Kluyveromyces lactis: one gene and its partners. The protein of the gene in region 2 interacts with the protein of the main gene of each other region in a pairwise test. Links are inferred from orthologs where the notes say so. Each region holds a gene or a part of one and is shown on either strand. Other genes may lie near its edges.

Region 1 (3,108 bases), about 480 kb from region 2:
TAGCCCCAGGCCTCGCCTGAGTTCAATAGTCCATGTAAAAATTCGAAGTCTGAAGAATCTTTCTGGAACAAGAAATCACTCCGCAGAGCATCAATTACAACCAACACTAGTTTCTTGAACACGGGTTTAGAGGCCAGTTGTACCTCCGGATTCACAATGAATTTAGAATCATTCTTCAAAACAACCTTTTGCGGAAAGAATCCTCCACAGAAGAGAAATACAGCAACCAATTGCAAAGTGGCCAGCACATAGTATAATTTTCTACCCATGATGGATTCAGCTGTGTGATTCAATTCACCTTGTCACTACTAACCAGTTTGTTAGAACAACTCAACGCTATTCCCATCCAACGCTGAAATGTATTGATGTTTACGTTACGTCTTTAGAGATTTTTCATGTTGAGAGAGATGAAAGAAAGGTAATTGAAGGAATTTTAGAAGAACAGTAACAAAACAAACAAGTGAATGAATAGGTGTCCGATGTAGTGCGGAATAATCATATTTCATATATACATAGCAATAATAAAAGGAAATGACCGAATATTTAATACGGAGTATAGAGGTAGATTTGTTAAGGATAATGCAATGATCTATATATCTAAATACTAAAGTAAAACCGTAAACCCAAGTGCATATGCAAAAATGTTCTTCATCACAGTGAATCTACTGTAACAATTGGTCTCTGTAATGAGGTTGGTTATTAACGAACTTGGCAGCTCTTTTATCGTCTCTTTTCTTGTCTTTGACTTCTGTTTGCCAAGTAGTCTTTTGTACTTGTTGTTGTTGTCTATCGAAAATGGTAGCGAAGTGTCTGGTGTCTGCAGCAACGATAGTACCTTGGCCCTCACTAAGTTCACGCTCAGGTTTAAGATTTTGTCTGTAATACCGTTGTAAGGTTCTGTGACCAACCTTCACACCAGTAGGTAGATGTAATTCGACACCGTCGTTGTATAGTATATGTTCAGGTAATTCTTCTTCTTCTTCATCATCTTCCTTTTTATCATTCTCAATATCACCGTCGTCATCTTCATCAACATCCACCCACTGGGATTCATCCTCGTTGACGGCTTTATCTAACTCTTCATAGGTACTCGAAAAATCATAAAACTCTGATATTTCCAACTTTTCAGCTTCCGTTTCGTATGGAATACGGCAATGCTTTTTCGATAGCATATGAGCTCTGACCGCTTCTAAGGACCTACCTTGGTAAGAACAGCAGAAACACATATTACCCAAACCAATCTTTTCCGAAAAGTATTTGAAAAGACCACTTTTATCAACTAAATATTTCTGTTCTGGAATATAGAAACCATGGTCTCTGAACATATGATCCAAATTTTCTTCAAAAGTTTTATACTTCTTACCGGTAAATAGACACTCAGTTTCTGGAATTTCAACTCTGTTATGAAGCTTTTCAGCCATTAACTTCTCAGCAAGTTGATCGGGGGTCATTTCTTCTTCTGGAATCTCTTCTGCTTTGGATTTGGCAACTTCGTCCTTCTGTTCTGCTTCTACTTGCACCTCAGGATCATCTGATGCTTTATTAACAGGAGTACTATCTTGCATGTTCTTCAACATAGACTCCTTAGCGAGCTGCAATAGTTGCTGCTTCTTGGCTAGTAACTTCTCCTTTTCTAACCTACGCATCTCCTTCTTCGTCATCTGTTTAACTTTATCCTTCTTATGCTTGTTCTCTTCTTCTTCCTTCTCTACACGAGCATTAGCAACCTTTTCACTAAAAGTAGCTTCATCTATGGATGGCAAACCAGCGACTCTTCTCTTCAAATTGTATCTGTGCCAGTCCGACTTCATGTGCTCTCTTTGGCCAACCGCAGTGTCAAACACAACACCGCAAGTGTTACAAGTATATCCAGCCATATCTTTGTCCTTTACCTTAGTTCGTGTAGGTTTATTTCTCCCGCTCCGTCGATACTAAACAAAGCAAACTAATATTTAATAATGTTGCTCCAAGAAGTACAAAAATAACAAGGCTGTTAATTACTGTTTCTCATCACTAGCCACCTGAACCTATTCGATGAGATGAGATGAGATGAGCTTCTATAAAATTTTCAAACATTCACGCACTAAAAAAAAAAGAAAGATTCCGGCGATGACTATGGGTAAACTGTCCCCAATAGGACGCCAATGATGTAAATAAAGACTACTCGATTCGATCCACTGGCTTTGTTCTATGTGAGTCGTTTGGGAATATATTTCATACTTAGATATCTAGCTCTCTCAGGGTATATAGTAACACACTACTTAGTATCTTTATTCCTTTTCCATTGATAGATTTGGAATTTGCAAATCAACATGTAGATAGGCACGATGGTAATGTTCAACAAGGCACCTAGGATCCATGAAAACACGAACATGAATTGGCTGGTGCTATGTTTGTTTAAACCTTGATCGCACGCCATCAATAGCCAACCAATAGAATCTGTGGTAATATCATCAAGCCCCCATTTCAATGACGAGATGATCTTGTCACGACATTGGGCAGCGGTCACTGGATTACTGGGTCCCTCAATTTCTTTTGTAATTGCAGGTTTAGTTATATTTTCTAGATCAAAGCCCTCACTTTGGAAATTACCTGGGTACACACAGGTGATTCTTGTACTTGAATGTTCCTGTCTCAAGATTGCAACCAAAGATCTTATACTCTGTTTCAAAGGAGCATACTGAGCGTATCCAATGAAAGGAAAGAACGCTACCTCGGAGGAAAAGAACAGAAGATGGGGCACATCATGCTTTAAAGAAACATGGGCCAAATTCACGGCGGTGGAATAATTTGTTGTGATACCGTTTTGTAATTCTTCCGGTGTCAAATCTAAGAACAGTTTTGGGATTGACCCCCCAGCACACATGTACACCTGTGATGGAACCAATTCACTCTTGACCAGTAGCTTGAACATCAATGCTACTTTGTCGTATGATGACGTATCACAGCTGTGATATATCAATTTTGTTTCATTTCTATTGGTATCGTTGACATATCGGTCCAAAGAAACACCATCAACGCCAATTCTCTCACAAGCCTTTACCAGCTTGCTCTGAGACCTGGACACAATGATAACCTTATTAGTATTCGAACCTGGTCCATCATCGT
Region 2 (3,820 bases):
GTCATTCGTTGGGGCCTCCGAGAATCTCCAAACACCACCCTGTAAATTGTCTTCCCATTTATTAACCACAGGGACGTCTGTCCCTGGATATATTGTGGTTTCTGAGAGCATTCTTAGATCAAAGGATCGTATATGGTCATCATAAGAGCCTGTGATTAAACTTGTTGGCTTGTTGCCTCTAAATGTCTCCCTAGCAGCCTTAATTGCCGTAACACCAGCTTGATGAATTTTTGAATTGGACCAGATCTTTTTGCCTGAATTCAAATCATGAGCTGCAATTGCAGAGTCGTCACCACCAGTGAATACAACATCTTTCAAAGGAGCCAAACAGCCGAACTCGCCGGTCCAGCACTCCAAAGAATGTTTGAAATGAAAGATTTGTTCATGGTCATTCTGAACATTTATAACTTTGATGTCTGCATTTGGCACCTCAATATAATTTATTGTTGAGGAGTCGAAATACGATGGCTCCACCTCCTCTATAAAGCATATTTCACCATGTATGATATCAACAGTAGCAAAATCCCCATTAGTAGTGGTTAAAAGTACGAGATTATCCAGCAATGGAGAAAACTGGAGAGACGTTATTAGACATGTGGGATCAAATACTTGAAGGTTGTTCAATAGTTTGATATCAATTGATGAATTATCATCGTCGACAGATATCGTCCACAGAATCATATTACCGGTTGAATGAGCTGTTGCGAGTAAAGTATCATCGAATGGATTGAGCTTCAAATCTAAAATTGCCCCATAGGTTTTTATGCTAGAAAGAAGGTTCAATTCTTTATCATAAACCTCAATAGAGCCAGTTCGATTGCCTGAGTCCTTATGCAAGAGATAGGTACCCACAATGATAAATTTCTCTCTTAAAATACACAAGCAACATGGAGGAAGACGCGTGGTAACCCTTTTATCAGCTGCAGTTTCTTCCATTCTGCAGAAACTCTTGACTTCTAATTTTGTCGCTCCTCTAAGGTGGTATGCAATACCTATGTTGGAGTCGTACTCTGCATCCTCATCATGCGGGTGCTTTTGTAAAGATTGTTGAGCCATCCATCTGTTCTAGTTCAGGTTTACCACACAATTTCTTTTTTACACTTTACGTACTAGCGGAAAATTTTAATATGTTAACCAGCTCATCTCATCATAAGCAAAGCATCAGCACAACAATCTTAGCAGTTAACGGCAGGTCTACAAGCAACACGGACTAGCAGCATGCCACCAAAGGAAACAACAAAGAAGTGGAAACCTCCAAAGGGTCCAAAGCCTATTCAAAGGAAGAATAAAAACACTATTGGGTTAGGTAAGGCAATTCAAACTGCAAGACGTAAGGAAAATGAAGTGCAGTATTTGCCAGATGGTGAAGAACGTTTCACTACCGATAAGCACGAAGCTAATTGGGTAAAATTGAGATCTGTTACTCAGGAATCTGCATTAGATGAATTTTTGAGTACTGCTGAGTTAGCAGACAAGGATTTCACAGCGGACAGACATTCTAATGTCAAGATCATCAGAATGGATAACGGTGCCGATGCAGCCACATCCCAGGGATTTAGTTTGACCAATGAGCAGAAAAGTAAGATCAACGAGAAGCAGAGATTACATGCTAGAGAGTTGATTGTCCCAAGAAGGCCTAAGTGGAATGAATCTATGACCAGATTTGAATTAGAAAGGTTAGAAAAGGAAGCATTCTTGGAATGGAGACGTAAATTAGCCTATTTGCAAGAAGACAACGAGGATTTGTTATTGACTCCATTCGAGAGAAACATTGAAGTTTGGAGGCAGTTGTGGAGAGTTGTTGAGCGATGTGATCTAGTAGTCCAAATCGTGGATGCCAGAGATCCATTATTATTCAGATCCACAGATTTAGAGAAATATGTGAAAGAAGTGGATGACAGGAAACAGAATTTACTTTTGATCAACAAAGCGGATTTATTAACAAGAAAGCAACGTATTATTTGGGCCAAGTACCTTCTCTCGAGGGGCATCTCTTTTACATTCTTTTCTGCTGCCAAGGCTAATGAAATATTAGAGAGACAAGAGGAACTAGGGGATGAATACGTTGAAGAAGAGGACGATGAGGAAATACTGGCTACAGAGGAAGAAATTGAAGAACTTGATGGGGAAGAAGTGAACAAAGAAATTCTGGATAAAATTAACATACTGAAGATCGATCAACTTGAAGAATTGTTCTTAGATAAAGCGCCAAACGATCCGCTACTTCCTCCATTGCCCGGTCAAGAGCCAATCATACAAATAGGTCTAGTGGGTTATCCAAACGTTGGTAAGTCTTCCACTATAAATGCCTTGGTGGGTGCCAAGAAAGTTTCTGTCTCTTCTACCCCTGGTAAGACCAAACATTTCCAAACTATCAAGTTATCTGATAAGGTAACGTTATGCGACTGTCCAGGTCTAGTTTTCCCTAATTTTGCATACAATAAAGGTGAATTGGTGTGTAACGGTGTTCTACCGATCGATCAGTTACGTGACTATATTGGGCCATCGACATTAGTGGCAGAAAGGGTCCCTAAATACTTTTTGGAAGCCATTTACGGTATCCATATTCAGACCAAATCCGTAGAAGAGGGTGGGAATGGTGAAGTACCAACTGCACAAGAATTACTCGTTGCTTATGCCAGAGCTCGTGGTTATATGACACAAGGTTTTGGTGCCGCAGATGAATCTCGTGCCTCTCGTTACATTCTCAAAGATTATGTGAACGGTAAACTCCTGTACATTAATCCACCGCCTCACATGGACGATGATACGCCATATACCAGAGAAGAATGTAAGGAATTCAACAAAGATTTATACACGTTCAGTAAATTACCTATCAACAGACAAGAGCAACTTGCAGAAGCTGCCAAACACAAAGGTATACAAGATTTGGATCTTGCTCGCGATTTAAGTCGATTAACGTTCTCTGCTCATATTGGTGGTGATGGTGATAAAGTACAAGCTAAATCTGTCAACCATGGTGGTAAACAAGCAGCCTTGTACAACGTAGCTGATGAACTTGACAAAAATTTCTTCCATTTGAACGGTGTTCAAGGCAGACTTACGAACCCTTTCCATAAGCAAACCGTCGCCAACGAAAATGGTAAGAAGCATAACAAGAAGAACAAGAAGAGTAAGAAAAAGGCTTCCATGTTTTCCGATTAATGTAAGTACTATCTAAATTCATCCTAAACTCTTATATATATATAAATCCACTGTTTGCACAGTCTATTATCCCCATTCATTATGGAAATGTAACTGCATATCCTTTATATCTTCCTTAGCTGCCCTGCTTCCGGTTATAAGACCTATGGTTAGCATGCAACTTGTCACTGCATTACCCGGTGTTTACTGAAAAATTTGATGAACCAAAAGAAAAGGATACAAAACTTGGTTAAAGTTGGTTTACTTTATACTTGACCTCAGTACATGGTCCAGTTGATAAGTATTCTTGTCATTTGTGGTTATCTTTTTGGTTCCTAGCTCAGCAAACAAGGGCTCTTAAACACATTTCGGCATGTTCAATTATGGTTCGCGTTGTGGTTATCATGGCGCAGACTTATTCCACGCATGTAGAAGTAAGCTCAAGATGCCCAGAGCTGGGATACTCCCATTTAACGCCCTTTTCGCTAACAACAACTGAATTCCTACAGTTTGTAGTTTGATAGTAGGTGGGCGGAAATATTACCCATTTAATTGGTTCAGTAGTTTCCTCTGAAATATTATGAGAGTCGTATGAATTTGTATATCAATAAGATTTAGCAATAGTTAACCAAGTTCAGCCTTATGTTATACTTACCATCGGTAGATACATTAAGTA
Region 3 (2,913 bases), on a different chromosome or scaffold from region 2:
TTAAGAGAATACCAATCGAATCTGGATTGGAAAATGAACTATGTGCCATCCTATACACAGACCAATACAAGGAACTCGTATCATTATTCGTTGCATTATTACAACAAAATGAATTATCTGAAAGAGCAATGGCAGTAACTGCCGCGGTGATTGAGACTGTACCAGCGTTATACACCGCATGGAACTACAGATTCGAGATTTGCATGTCCTTGTTCCGGAAAGAAGATGTATCCGCATGGGAGAAAGAATTGGATTGGCTCGATGAGTTCACCTTAAATAACCCGAAAAACTACCAGATTTGGTCGTACAGACAAGCGCTACTCTCAGAACATCCATCCCCCAAATTAGTGCGAGACCTTCCTATACTAGACGTGATGATCGATGACGATACAAAAAATTACCATGTATGGTCGTACCGCAAATGGTCCGTCCAATTCTTCAAAGATTGGTCCCATGAACTCGACTTTGTGAACAAGTACATCGATAGAGACGTGTATAACAACAGCGCCTGGACCCATAGAGCTTTTTATTTGAAGAACGTCGATCATGTTCAAGAGGAAGGAGTAGCAGAGGTGGAAATTCAATACTGTATGGATAAGATATTGTTGGCTCCACAAAACGTAAGCCCCTGGAACCATCTACGTTTTATTTATAAGTCATTCAAGAATAACGAATACGATTCCAAGTTGATTAATTTTGCTTCGTCCTTCATAGATAACGCCTTGGAGACATATACCGACCAAGAAGAAAGACCAATCTCCCATGTTAAGTCTTCTTTCGCATTGGAGCTCCTAGCTGATGTATATTCTCAAACAGACTCGGAAAAGTCCAAGATCGCATATCAGGCATTAGCAGACACTTGGGATCCTATAAGGAAAAACTACTGGAATTTAAAAATCAGACAATTAACTATATAGGATTGTATTATTAACATACAAGGATGCCTTGTCGCGCAAAGGGCTCCCACATCCAAGCTCACTTGGCTATCCTACCCGTCGGTACTACAGAAGTATCATATCATCTCTACCTTCACTGACACAAATCACGTTTCTTTCCCTCAACTAGACTGGAAAAAAATTGTTCCAAGGCCAAAAAGATTAAAGAAGAAGAAGCGATGAGATGAGACGAGGTAAAGTTTAATGAGTGGACGGGAATCGCCTCAGAGAGAGATATTAGTACCGGCAAGTATTCATAAATAATCAGCTACAATCATCTGCAATGGCGAATACTGAATCTGATATTACAAGAGTACTAGGTGGGATCTATGTTGGTGGTATTCAACCAATTGCGAACCATGTTCCACTGAAAGTGAATTATCAGATCACTCACATCCTATCAGTGATCAAATTTGAGATCATTCCAGAATACTTGGTCAGGAAGAGTTATACTTTGAAGAATATTCCTATTGACGATAATTTGAGTACAGATGTGTTGCAGTATTTCAATGAAACGAATAGATACATCGATTCATGCCTGTTTCCCGATGAGATAGAGCTTGACCGAGTGAAGGTTGATTTCAAAAAGAAGCCCCAAAAGGGTGCCATATATATACACTGCCAAGCAGGTGTATCCAGATCTGTTACGTTTGCAGTAGCGTATTTAATGTACAGATACGGGTTCAATTTGAAGACAGCTTTACATGCAGTGAAGAGGAAACGGAGCGTAGCTGAACCAAATGAGAACTTTATGGAGCAACTGAAGCTGTATGAAGCCATGGGTTCGAATATAGTGGATGTCGAGAATAAAGACTATAAACAATGGAAATTACAGAATTCCATTAAAACTGATCCCTTGGGAGCCAATATCATGGCTCAAAATGAAATGTATAAGTCTGAAGAAGTTGAAGCTGAAAAGGTAGCTAAGTTATCGAAAGAGGAAGTAGAAGATGTTTCTGCGATCCGTTGCAAAAAATGTAGGTTTAGACTTGCATTTTCCACTTCTTTCATTAAGCATGATCCTCCAAGTAAGGAATCAATGGAAGGTCATTTCATTAGGAGGGCCGCAGGATCTAGAAGAATTATTGATATTCAACAATCACAAGACCGTTGTTCGCACTATTTCGTGGAGCCTTTGGAATGGATGAAGAAAGAATTACAAAAGCAAGAGCTTGAAGGTAAATTTTTCTGTCCGAACTGTGATAGCAAGATCGGAGGTTACAATTGGAAAGGTTCTAGATGCAGTTGTGGTAAATGGATGATTCCGGCAATCCATATCCAAACAGCTAAAGTCGAACAAATAGCATTAACTAGGAAAGACCTACCTAATTTAGTATCGTTTGAAGAATAATGGTCTCTCAGTACTCGCATAAATATCATTCATAAAGGTTAGCATTTTTTATTTTATTTGTTTAATACATGTCATTCTTCTTTAATAGGCATTTAGGTGAGGCTAGATACTCGTGAACCTTGAGCACCGGAGTCTAGAGTATCAGATATGGTCAACGATGGCTGTTCATGGACCGAATCCTCATTTTCATTTACAAATGGCAGTGCATCCACATTTGAATGCCTGGATCTTGACCGGTTGGTATAACTTGTATCAATTAATTGTGAATCCTCAACAAACGTACCTCTCGTTCTGTCGAGCATAGATCCTTGTTCGTGAACTTCCGCATACTCGTTATCGTAATCATAACTTTGATCGTACTCTTCTTCAGATTGTTCACCAACTTGTGCTGTCAGCAGTACCGATTGTTCTGTATGTTGATGATTATGATTTGACACAATAAATGAAGAGGAAGTTTGGTAGGCATTAAGTATTGGTTCTTGCCCTGAATTGTGTTCATTTTGTTGCTTGTTCTGTTTACTTCCCTTCTCCTTTTCGATCTCTTTTAGGGTTTTATCAATGCCAATAGGTCGCAAACTTGAGTAGCCAAGAGATCTTATCAGCAATAGTGTCGATTTATCTAGAATG

Evidence for each region.
Region 1: the proteins of LSG1 (region 2) and REI1 interact in binary tests that used the Saccharomyces cerevisiae proteins (3 or more experiments, as listed by UniProt). The link is inferred for Kluyveromyces lactis from reciprocal best matches to the Saccharomyces cerevisiae genes LSG1 and REI1.
Region 3: the proteins of LSG1 (region 2) and YVH1 interact in binary tests that used the Saccharomyces cerevisiae proteins (3 or more experiments, as listed by UniProt). The link is inferred for Kluyveromyces lactis from reciprocal best matches to the Saccharomyces cerevisiae genes LSG1 and YVH1.

The regions. Positions count from the first base shown.
Region 1 is NC_006042.1:161,564-164,671, forward strand, and holds REI1 (Rei1p), read right to left. Parts: upstream 1,878-3,108; coding exon 663-1,877; downstream 1-662. Other genes in the region: mannose-ethanolamine phosphotransferase LAS21, read right to left, coding at 1-269; TSC10 (3-dehydrosphinganine reductase), read right to left, coding at 2,258-3,108. UniProt on the Saccharomyces cerevisiae protein: Pre-60S-associated factor involved in the cytoplasmic maturation of the 60S subunit. Involved in the dissociation and recycling of other late pre-60S factors like ARX1, TIF6 and ALB1 before newly synthesized large ribosomal subunits enter translation.
Region 2 is NC_006042.1:641,276-645,095, reverse strand, and holds LSG1 (ribosome biogenesis GTPase LSG1), read left to right. Parts: upstream 1-1,218; coding exon 1,219-3,165; downstream 3,166-3,820. Other genes in the region: RRT2 (diphthamide synthase), read right to left, coding at 1-1,056. UniProt on the Saccharomyces cerevisiae protein: GTPase required for the nuclear export of the 60S ribosomal subunit. Acts by mediating the release of NMD3 from the 60S ribosomal subunit after export into the cytoplasm.
Region 3 is NC_006041.1:1,604,217-1,607,129, forward strand, and holds YVH1 (tyrosine protein phosphatase YVH1), read left to right. Parts: upstream 1-1,218; coding exon 1,219-2,286; downstream 2,287-2,913. Other genes in the region: RAM2 (bifunctional protein farnesyltransferase/protein geranylgeranyltransferase), read left to right, coding at 1-917; MND2 (Mnd2p), read right to left, coding at 2,379-2,913. UniProt on the Saccharomyces cerevisiae protein: May be directly involved in signal transduction and/or cell cycle regulation. It is necessary for maintaining growth rate or spore germination. Could show both activity toward tyrosine-protein phosphate as well as with serine-protein phosphate.